2 linked regions of the Tribolium castaneum genome follow. The protein of the gene in region 2 interacts with the protein of the main gene of each other region in a pairwise test. Links are inferred from orthologs where the notes say so. Each region holds a gene or a part of one and is shown on either strand. Other genes may lie near its edges.

The links. The genes of interacting proteins can lie anywhere in the genome.
Region 1: the proteins of Pfdn5 (region 2) and Pfdn6 interact in a two-hybrid assay, tested with the Caenorhabditis elegans proteins (2 studies listed by BioGRID). The link is inferred for Tribolium castaneum from reciprocal best matches to the Caenorhabditis elegans genes pfd-5 and pfd-6.

Annotation. Positions count from the first base shown.
Region 1 is NC_087394.1:25,215,438-25,221,012, reverse strand, and holds Pfdn6 (prefoldin subunit 6), read right to left. Parts: upstream 2,557-5,575; 5' UTR 2,420-2,556; coding exon 2,356-2,419; intron 2,311-2,355; coding exon 1,994-2,310; 3' UTR 1,919-1,993; downstream 1-1,918. Other genes in the region: vesicle transport protein GOT1B, read right to left, coding at 17-108, 161-185; glu (structural maintenance of chromosomes protein 4), read left to right, coding at 2,820-3,047, 3,093-3,284, 3,330-3,506, 3,560-3,664, 3,712-3,899, 3,946-4,086, 4,734-4,923, 4,971-5,153 and 1 more. UniProt on the Caenorhabditis elegans protein: Binds specifically to cytosolic chaperonin (c-CPN) and transfers target proteins to it. Binds to nascent polypeptide chain and promotes folding in an environment in which there are many competing pathways for nonnative proteins.
Region 2 is NC_087400.1:9,620,609-9,626,565, forward strand, and holds Pfdn5 (prefoldin subunit 5), read left to right. Parts: upstream 1-2,628; 5' UTR 2,629-2,707; coding exon 2,708-2,809; intron 2,810-2,865; coding exon 2,866-3,000; intron 3,001-3,047; coding exon 3,048-3,122; intron 3,123-3,172; coding exon 3,173-3,325; 3' UTR 3,326-3,401; downstream 3,402-5,957. Other genes in the region: uncharacterized protein LOC103314387, read right to left, coding at 1,825-1,851, 1,902-1,940, 1,992-2,115, 2,254-2,327. UniProt on the Caenorhabditis elegans protein: Binds specifically to cytosolic chaperonin (c-CPN) and transfers target proteins to it. Binds to nascent polypeptide chain and promotes folding in an environment in which there are many competing pathways for nonnative proteins.

The sequences.
Region 1 (5,575 bases), on a different chromosome or scaffold from region 2:
GAAATTATTTACTTACATTTCCTAACGCTAATAAACTCTTATCGAAGAGTAATAAAACACCCAAAAATAGGAAAAACATCCCAAAGCCAGCCAGGCCGACCCCAATTTCTGTAAAAAAAATATTATCACCAAACATATTTTGGCAATTGTTTAAACATACTTTGAGTATCGGTGACCTCAAACATTTTCTATTTTAATTTGGCGATTTATATAAAGAAAATTTTAAATTTAAAACGTCTGTGACATAACCTCACAAAACACATCCACGTCACTGGTATGAGTTGGAACTTTTTTCCACTGGCTTTAAATATTACTTTAAAGTTGAAATAGTCAAAGAAAATTGCACGTTTTACTTATGATCACGTTTTCTTACACTTTAGCGCAATATTTACTTTCTTGATCAATCATCTTTTGTGTTGTTAAACATTAGTGTTTTTTATGTTGGCTTTATTGGAGGCGCGAAATTTAAACCGAGACAGTTTTTTGCAAAATCAATTTATTACATCAGTTTTAGAATAATTCTATAGGCTTTGAAAGAGGCAAACACAAGTGATGGAATTATAATAGGAATGAGAATTTGTTTGTACCATATCTTCCTGTTTTTTCTAACAATCTGCAACAGTAGAAATTAATTATAGTTCAGACGTGTTGCAAAACTACCTTTTGCTCAAACTCGTCTAATTGTTTTTCTAAAGATTCTACACATTTTTGCAAACAATGGGCAGCTGGTTTCAACTGAACATTGCACACAATTGTATCCCTTCTATTCACTGCAATAGAAAGAGCAGCTAAATGTTTCGTCAAATGCATAGACATTTGGGCTAAAACTAATTGTACGTATTTTTCATCTATCAAAACCTCTGTATGTTTTCTGCAAAAAAAACATTAGAAATTGTGTAATTATTCGGTTGTAAAAAATACTCTGCAGGTATTTGTAAATTATTAGCATGTTGTAAAACAGCTAATCGAATTTCTTCCTCCTCAATACCCAAGATTTTTAAATCTTCTTCATTGAACAATTTGAGAGTGAATGCATCAATGCTGAATTGTTTAAAATTGCTTGAATATTTTTCAGCTTTCGATGTGCACAACACCGTGTCGAGGATATTCATTATTGTTATTATTTGTTTATTTATTTTAACTTCGTTTTAAAAATTTGGCTAACCTAACCAATCTTTTGCACATTTGACAATTGACATTCAAAACTGCGCGGATTTTAAACGTCAATTCCTTTTTACCTGATGTTCTTTAAAATTATTAGTTTAATAATAATAATTTAATAATAAGTACTGTTTTTCTTTTAAAGGCGTTAACCTTGTGAAACAGGACTCTGAAGTCGTATTCATTTTTGTGCTGAAGCGGAGCAATAGAAAAACAAGGCAGCTCCCTTCAAATTTTAACATTTTTCGAGATATTTGAAAACAAGGTCAAAATGCTTAAAATCTGTTGTGTGCTGAAGGGGCCTTCTTACTGCTAACTTTACACAAAATGTTGCACCCTTTCGTGTCGGCGTTTGGTTTAATCAGTTCCACGTTTTCCTTTCTTGGGGGTGGTAAAAAAGATGAATTTCCCACCGAAGACGGAATTTTGATTTTGAACCAATTTAATTTTAAAGAGGCGGTCAGTCATCACGAACTTTTAATGGTTAAATTTTATCTGCCGTGGTGTAGCCATTGCAAGGCTTTTGCCCCCGAGTATTTAAAAGTGTGCAAGATTCTTGAGAAACAACAATCAAAAATTAAACTGGGACAAGTGGACGCGACAGTCGAGAAGGCATTAGTTCGAGAACAAGAAATTGGGGGTTTTCCAGCACTGAGACTGTTTAAAGGGGGCTATCCCATAACGTATACAGGGCTTCGTAAAGCTGAACACATTGTAGCATGGTTGAACAGAAACAGTGGATAATTGACTAAATAAATAAAGCGTTAACGAGATTTTTATTATTCTTTCGTATTACAAAACGTGTTAATAAATAAGTGATTTTTTCGCAAAATTAAGCATGTAATGCAGCCTTCACTTGCGCCTGTTGAAACTGATGTTGCAGCTTTTGGAGCGCCTCCCTATGCACATCTTGCTTCTTTTCAATCGAAGTGATCAAATCATCAACCCTCGAAATCTCTTTCTTGATATAATCCATTCGTTTGCCCACATTTTGTCTAGCTTCAACAAGTTCAGTTTTGATAAGGACTGGACCAACGGACTTGTACACTTTAGCATCCTTAGGAAGGATTTCTAATTCGTCTTTAACAATCATATTTTCGTTTAACTGACTGTCTAATTGTTGTCTCGTTGAAATCGCCTTTTGCAACTCTGGAAAAGTTTGGTTAGGTTGGACAAAAAACCAGATTATTGTACCTTTTTGTGTGTTTTTGAAACTGTCCAGCTCCGACTGGATTTTTCTTTGCAGATCTTCACTCATTGCTCGGTTTTATAATCTTGGAGTAAATATAAAAGTGTATCTTAATTTTTCCTTTTTGGGCAAACGTCAAAATCAAACAGGCCGACCACCCACACGTCTAGGGATTTCTACGTCACCAACTAGATATACTAAGGACAAAAAATTTATTTCGCTCTAAAAAAGAATAATTATCCTGTATTTCGTTAAACTCAGTTAGTTACTGAAAATAAGGGGGCGATTTACACTTATTACACGACCCGTATTAATACATGAATTAAATAATGCAACTAACTTCACCCTAAACAAAACAACGCAACATAACCGTTAAAATTTGAAATTTCTTCGTGCTTTGTGTTTTCAACGAGTTTAGTTGTGTTATGCTTGTGTTCCGCAGTTTCTTGTATGTTATGTATGTGTAAAAATGACGGAAAACAGAGGAAAGAAGCGCGAACACCCAGACAACAGCCAAGTCGAAGAAGACTTGAACTTTTCGGACGAAGAGGGTATTTATGTGGATGATATTTACATTCCGCCCCCTTTGAAACGTAGGAACGTCGAGAAGTCGCAAACTCGCTTAATAATCACAAAGATCGTGAACAATTATTTTAAAAGTTACGCTGAAAATGTAGTTTTGGGGCCCTTCTCTAAGGTACGTTTGTGACGGTTTGGACAAGAGACAATGAGTGTTTTGTAGTGTTTTAATGCCATCATTGGCCCCAACGGTAGCGGCAAGAGCAATGTCATTGATTCGATGCTGTTTGTGTTTGGATATAGGGCCACTCGCATGAGGTGCAAAAAATTATCAGTGTTGATTCACAATTCTGAACGGTATCCTAATGTTCAGTCTTGCAATGTGGCGGTGCATTTTTGTGAAATCGTAGATAAGGTAAGGCTTAATTTTATGAAATTGTGAATAAGTGATTGTTTTTAGCCCGGGGAAGAGTATGAGGTTGTTCCAGGTAGTGAATTTGTCGTGTCAAGGACTGCCAATAGAGACAACAGTTCGTTTTATGAGCTCAATGGACGAAGAGTCCAATTTAAGGAAATTGGGAAATTGTTGAAGGGGCATGGAATTGATATCGACACTAACAGGTTTCTGATTTTGCAGGTTTGCGATTATTTCTCCTTCAAGTGCTTTATTTTTGAATGAAATTTTGTTAGGGCGAAGTTGAGGAAATCGCAATGATGAAATGTAAAGGAGCAAATGAAAACGAAATAGGAATGTTGGAATATCTGGAAGATATCATTGGAACACACAGATACAAAGTAAGAAGTTTAATTAGTTTAACACAAAAAAAAAAAATTTGTTGTAGAAACCCTTGGAGCAATTAAATGAGAGAATAGAATATTTGTCGGATTTGCGCACTGAAAAACTCAACAGACTCACATTGATTGAAAAACAGTTGGAACAACTCAAGGGACCTATGGAAGAAGCGCTTACTTTTCTGAAAACAGAGAACAAAATTGCAGTTTGTAAGAATTTCTTGCATCAGAAAGAATTGTGAGTTTGTTTGGAATGAGTGCCATTTATAACCCGTTTTTTCCAGACATGATTTAGAAGCTGAAGTGAAAGAAGTGGAAGAAGACAAGGCGAAGTTAACACAAAGTCGTGACGGTTTAATTGCAGAATTGAAAACCATTTCAGATGAAAAAACTGAAAAAGAGAAAATTTTGAAGCAAGAAGCTGGGTAAATAAATCGTTTATTCAATGCTATTAATAAAATACTCATTTTATAAATTAAATCTGATTAATAAAACAATAGTTTAATCAATAAAATGAATCAAAAGAATAAATAAAATATTTATAGCAACGCTTTATTCACTCTGCCACACAACCGTTTTTTCTGTATCAGATGATACATTATTTCTTTATCAATTCTTTTGAGTACATAAAATAGCACTTTACCACAAGCGTACATAAATTGTTTTAAATTCATTGTATTCAATAATTTATAAAGTTACAAATTCCAACATGTTAATTTTAAGGATTAACAATAGCTTTTTTTTTTAAACTTAATGTCTCTGCTATAGAAAAATCAAAGTATTATTTTCGTGAAATAAGTCTTTGTTATTCTTGAACTTAATCGTAAATAAACAATCTCTTTATGGTCTTGTATAATAAATAACTATTTATTCATCTTTTTCATTTAAATATTAAAATTTAGGTTTTCAAAAAGCGAACTGAAATGTAATTGTGATTTAACGTTCTAAAAATATTGAATGCTATACGTGAATAAAGAGCTTTTATCCCTTCAAAAAATTATTTAAACAATTTTGTATTATTCACTTAAATAGCTATTGAAACATTGATTTGTTTTAACAATTTTTTTTCTAGAAAATATGAAAAGTTGCAACAGAAAAAGGATCAACTCAAGGATGCTTTCAATGCGGCTGATAAAAAGGATGCCCAACTACAAGCCGAAATGACAAACACTAACAATAACAGGAAAAAATTTAAGCAACAGCTGGAAGATGAAAAAAAGAAACTAATTAAGTTACAAAAAGTGCCTGAAGAAAATGCAAAAGTAATGACAATTACTTGTATTTAATTTTTGTTAACTTTTTTCTGCAGCTCATTGGAGAGTGTGAGAAGCGAGAGCGTGATTTAACATCACAGCACGAAAAATTACAAGCAGAGAAGGCAAAATTAATGGAAAATATCGGTCATGAGACGAAAGATCTACAAGTGAAGAAAGAACAGTTTGAAACTAAACTTGGTAAACTCAAAAAGACAGTTGACACAACAAAAAATGAGGTAATTTATTTTCTAAATCCATACTTTTAATTGGTTTGTTAAATTATATATTGATAAAAATTATTTTTTTTATTATGATCCGGTTATAGAAAAAATAGTGTTTGCAGTTTGCATTTAATATTAATTAAAACACGAATATCTACTAAAGTTAAATGAGTACTTGTTAATACGTACTATTGTTACTCATTTTTTTTAGTATGATTTGGCTTCCACGCAATTAAATTTTGCCCGAAGCAGTGAAGAAACCGAACAAGAAAAGCTTAACCAACTTCGTGAAACGATTAAAAACAAAGAGGCTTGTATTAAAGAACGTTCTGGAGAGGTGTCGCAACTTAAAAAGAAAATTCCTCTTACGGAAAAGTCACTCAATGACGCGCAACATGAACTAGACGCAGTTAAATCCGAACAAAATCAAATTGAAC
Region 2 (5,957 bases):
ATTTTTTTTGCGTAGAATCTAATTATGCAAAATATATAAGGGGTTTGATTTAAAAAATATAACTTTGGTTCACGAGCCTGTATACAACACCCTGTGTGCAGTAAAAATATTTTTAGTTTGTGTACTTGTAAGTCGATCTATCGAATAATGAAACATGGCAATATTTCAAGTAACATAAAAGTTATAAACCGAAAACAACAAATATTAACGTGAAACCTATTGCTTTTGAGTTTAGTTATAAGTAACAACGTAAAATAATTTATTAAAATACACACCATCACCTCAGTAAAACTTTTTTTTTTGTTCACAAATTATGGTGGAAAATTTATTATATGTAATGTTTCGCGGAAATGCTAATAAATATGAGGTAAGGGGTGAAGTAAGAAAAAGTGACTATTAAAATATTAAAAAGTCAAGAAGTTGGCCTGATATAAAAAAAACCATTTTTAGCAGCTCCTCCAGGTTGGATATTAGGAATCTGCACTTGTGTAAATCAAATGCCCAGCGACATCAAGAAATAATACCCGAAAAGCCCAATGTTCGAAAAAAATTAAATGAATTCAAAAAACACAAAAATCTAAATTTGGACAAAACATAATCCCAAGTTTTCAACCAAACAAACAAAAGTGGCTGTTTCTTCATCAAAATTCAAAATTTTGACTTAGTGAAGACTGTATATAAAAAAAGAATTTAAAAATTACGCACTACACACTTGTATACCAATTTCAGTGTCAAATATTGATCTCTAATATTACAAAAACTTATTCTGTGATATACTACACTGAAAAAGGCGAACTTAAATAACAAGATAATGGCTTATGTGCAAAAATTATGGATTTAATAATAATAATAATACATTATTTTCTCATTTTGTCATAATGTTCAAAATTGATATGCATAATAAATAAACCTACAAAGCAGTTATTTAAAAAAATAGTTAAGGAAACTTCAAATTCAAAAAATCTCCTATCAGAAAAATAACTTTTGTCCCTCATATGTTTCAGCCACTGGTTCTTTAAAATAACCGAAAAATATTATGGTAATTACACTAATTACACAACACTAAAAATGACCACAATCCGTCCTTTGCTTTAGTTGGGACAAAAACAGGTAGCAACCAAAAGACCATCCACAGAAACGGCACGAGCAACGCCTCTATAGGCAAAAGCAATAAACTATGGGGGATTATATGACAAAATCAGTCTATTCATTGATAATTTAAAAACAACAGTGTTCTACTACATGGCGTTTGTTAAATTAGTTGAAATTTCATATTTTGTAATAAATATCAAAACCCTAAAACAAATTTTGAAGTTTACTGATAAAATAACGCGACTTTTACATCAATCGCAATATCTCAAAAATAAATTAAACCTTTTCTTAAAGGAGTTTACTTTTTCAACGCATTAGCCTGTAGAATTAAAAAACCTTTAATATGATGTACACATAATACAGACTGATCCAGAAATACTGAGTCTGTTGGCAACACTGGACTTAAATTTTTAAGGATACCAATGAAGTACGCTTCAAGTTAACAAGAATTTAACATTCTTGTGGAGTTGGACGTCAAATAATTGTCAAGAAAAATCGAATTCGGTTGCAATGTTACAAATTACGAGCACAAATACTTTCAAATGTGTTGCCAATAGACTCAGTTTTTCTGGATCAGTCTGTATTTGAAATTCTGTTGCGTATTAAGAGAGAAAACTTTTTTAACTGCGCCCTCTGGCGACATTAGCGGAACCATTAAAAACGGGAACGTTTTATTTGTATGTACATCGTTTCGTATCCTAATCTTTAGATATCCGTACTTAAAACACTTACAGAATTTGATCGTTTTAACCCAGAATTCTGAAATAAATAGGTGTTTAACGTTATGTCAATTGTATTTACTGTTTTACCAGAGTCGGAGTAATGACCGTTGATTTTTTATAAGAAACCTACAATCAGCATTAGAGTGATAAAGTTCTCGAAACAAAACAAAACCTAACTGATGGAGTAACCGAAGGTCTTCTCAAATTTGACGAACTTGTTGATCTTTTCAAGGGCGGATTTAAGGTTCGGTCCATGGAATTCGCCCTGAACCTTTTTGCATTGTCATCTTTTGCACTAACTCTTTAAAACAAATTAGAGCCAATAATTTCATTTGAATTTCTTGAAGAAGGAATTTAGGAGAAGGGTACTTTTGGTAATTTTTTACTTTTTTAATAAACCAGGACCTAAATTAGGTACTACAAGTTTACATTATTTTACCTGCTGACAGAAGACTTTGAGCGTGACCTATTGGGGACTGGAAGTTGGGAGCTGCTGTTTGACCGTCGGTACATTGTTCAAAAGACTTCTCAACTTATTAAAAACACAATTAAATCATAAAACTGACTGAAGTGTACAAACATCAAGTTCAAAAAACGTTATTACAAAATCACCAATCAAGAAAGTCCAATAGATGCAATTTATCTACTAAATGTATCTAAATTGGAACTACTTGCTGTTAATTTTTTTAATATGTACCAATAAATACGAAACGTATACAGATTTATTTAACTGGAAACAATTTTAAAAAAATAATGCAAAGCAGTGCTTGTATGAAAGACACAGCATTGTCTTTCGACGAGTAGTTCATTCAAACAGTGCAATTTGTCTCTACTCCATTGCTATTTGACACTACCTTGTTTGTCCATTTATTAGTTATTAATTTATTAGAAAAATGGCTCAAATTTCGTCCACAGAACAGCCTAATATGAAGCAAGTGGATCTGATGACGCTAAATATCCAGCAGTTATCAACGTTAAAGCAACAGTTAGACCAGGTATGTGCCCTAACCTCAAACCTTGCACATGATTCTAAAAACTGCTCTTTTTCCAGGAATTGTCGCTCTTTCAAGAATCTCTTGCGTCCCTCAAAATGGCACAGACGAAATTTCAAAACTCCGGAGAGTCTCTGGAGAAAGTTGGCCCCGATTCGGATGGAAAAGAGATTTTAGTGCCGTTAACAGGATCGGTAATTTGAGTAATATTTACGAACTTTAATGAAAGTTTTTTTTTAAGATGTACGTGCCTGGAAAGTTGCACGAGACCAACAATGTGTTGATCGATATCGGAACCAGATATTATGCAGAAAAGGTGCAGCAATGTTGATGTTGAAATTGTGTGTTAATGATTGAATTTTTTAGGATATTGATGCTGCTAAAGATTACTTTAAGCGGAAAATTCAGTTTGTGACAGAACAGATGGAGAAAATTCAAATTTTGGGGTTGGAAAAAAGCAAAATTAGAGATGCTATTGTGGAAATTGTGGAATTAAAGCTGCAACAGCAACAGAATTGAGTTTAATTTTGTACATGATTTATTTATAACTGTGTTTAAATGTTTACCTAATAATAAAAAGATAAATTAACCTCCACTTTATTTGATTTTATGTTCCTGACTTATTCGGGAATTGTCTACATTTTGTATTAATCAATTTTGGTCAAAATTTGTTGCCGGATAGGCAACCAAATATACAGCTAGTTTTGGACTATCACTGAGAATATTACACACTGATCCACAAAAACTGAGTTTGTTGGCAACAATGGCTCGTAATTTGCAAGACTGCAACCGAATTCGATTACTTTTGACAATTATTTAACATACAATACCACAAGATTGTTGAATTGTTGTTAACTGGAAGCGTACTCCAATGGTATTCTATAAAATTTAAATTCAATGTTGCCAACAGTCTCAGTATTTCTGGATTAGCCTGTATTTATAATAGATGGTTATAGGAAATGCTAATATAGATCGATAAAGAAAAATATTCTCCTCCATCTAGTAAAATAAAAATTAGGATATTAATATAAGTTATGGGTACTTGAAGTTGTACAAACTTAACTTTAAAATTTTGGGTTTTTTACACTTCTTTTCCAATTTTGAACACATTAGAAAACAGATTTTATAGGCTTTCTCTTTTAATTCTTCAAAGATAATTTCGAAATTTCTCAAACTAAAAAAGCTACCGAATTTTTTAAGTGTCAGGTGCAAATCCAATAATTTTCAAAAAAACTTAAATATTTAAGAATATAAGATGCGTTGTCTAATACAATTATTGTCGGATCTTCTAAAGACGGTAAGAGCTTTTCAAGGAGACACGTTGTCGTGGTAATCGTCTGATTTTGTCTTTGAAGAAAATATTAGGGAAGCGTTTTCCAAGTTTTCCAAGTTCCTCCTTTGGCAAAAATCTATGTCTCGTCGAGAAAGTCGTATAAATTCACTGTTTTATACTCCTCGTATTTTCTCAAAAAAATTAATCTTTTTGAAACAATTTGTGGCTTCTGACACAGAGCTCGTCGATTGCAGTCTCTTTTATAATGAAACTCTGTAAAAACAAAAATATGTTATATTATACGTATATGCTTACTCATAAGTCATATTACACCTAGGGGCCGGTTTATATCAGGCGAATTAAAATTTGATTGCAATTAAGTGTTTTGTAAATTGGCCTCACTATATTTAACTAACTACAGTCAAACTTCTTTAAGTCGAACTTCCTTTACTCGAATTTCTCTCTTACTCAAAAATTTTTGTTTCCCCTTGCATTGCCAATCTTATTTACATGTGTTTAGCTTTCTTTAACTCGAACTTCTCTAACTCGAAAATTTCTCTAACTCAAAATTATTTTAATGAACAAAGCATGCGCGAACTTCTTTAACTCGAAATTATTCGTCACAATTCGGCGCAGTGTTATGCAAGTTTTAGTTTCGCAAAAATTGGCACATTTTCTAGAAAAATGGCATCTAACTATTGAAAAAGAAATGGACAGTGGGGTGAAAAAGAAAAAAAAATATGAAATTCCGTCGAGTACATTATCTAAAATTAATGAAAACAGAGCGTCAACGGTACAGTTTGCTCAGGAAATTGGAAATTCTGCCAATATGACAACTGATATTGTTTATAATTCACTAAATAAAATCGAGCGATTTTATGAAACCAATTGTATCAAAAAAACTGTACGTCAAAATCTGATCACAAGTTATATGCATTGAGAAAGAAAATATATATGTATGTTCATACAAATCTGTAATAATGTTCATTTCTAATAAAAAAATATTTTCAGTTTCTATAACTCGAAATTTCTCTAATTCGAACAAATATTCGTTCCCCTTGACGATTCGAGTTAGAGAAGTTCGACTGTAATTAAATTTTATTAAAACAAAAAAATGCATTCGTTGTACTTAACAAGATATTTAACAAAATACATACCAATAGACAGCAAAAGCTTTCTCAAATTCGACCAACTGCCTTGGTAGATGTGTTTTTTCTCCAATACTTCTTTTAATCCCTTAACTGTCACCCAAATTTTCTTTTATAATATTTTTTATAATGTTCTCAGCAATTTTTAATGCTTCTGCAGCACGTCTTATGTAGCACTGAACAGGAATTACTGGCCCCAAGTTTTTTAACAAAAACTTAACAATACTTTTTATTAATTCACCACTATGTTTATCATACATTTTTTCGAAGTAACTGATACCTCCTATCTATTATCAGATGTAGAAACAACTGAATTTGTGAGAGTAGGATAAGGGTAAAGTGACCCTTAAACCCTTAAAACCAACTTTCTAACGTGAAAACCCTTATCTACAACCAATTACTTGTGTCTAAGAAACTAATCCTATTTTTACCTTTAGTGGAATTAATACCATTATAATGTGTTAGAAAGTTGCTGTAGCAGTAAATTAAGTAATTACAAATTAAACATAACATAATCTTTTAAGAGAGTAAGAAACAATGCTGTTTACAAATTGTTCACATTAAAAAGTTTTTAGGATTTAAAAATCACTTTCAAATTGAAATTCATAATTAACATGTATATTTGTTGATAATAGTAAACATTTTGTTTATAGGGTTGACCAGGCAAACAAATAAAAGACATATTAATTTATTTAACAACAATAAACATAACAAATACCAAAGTGGCATC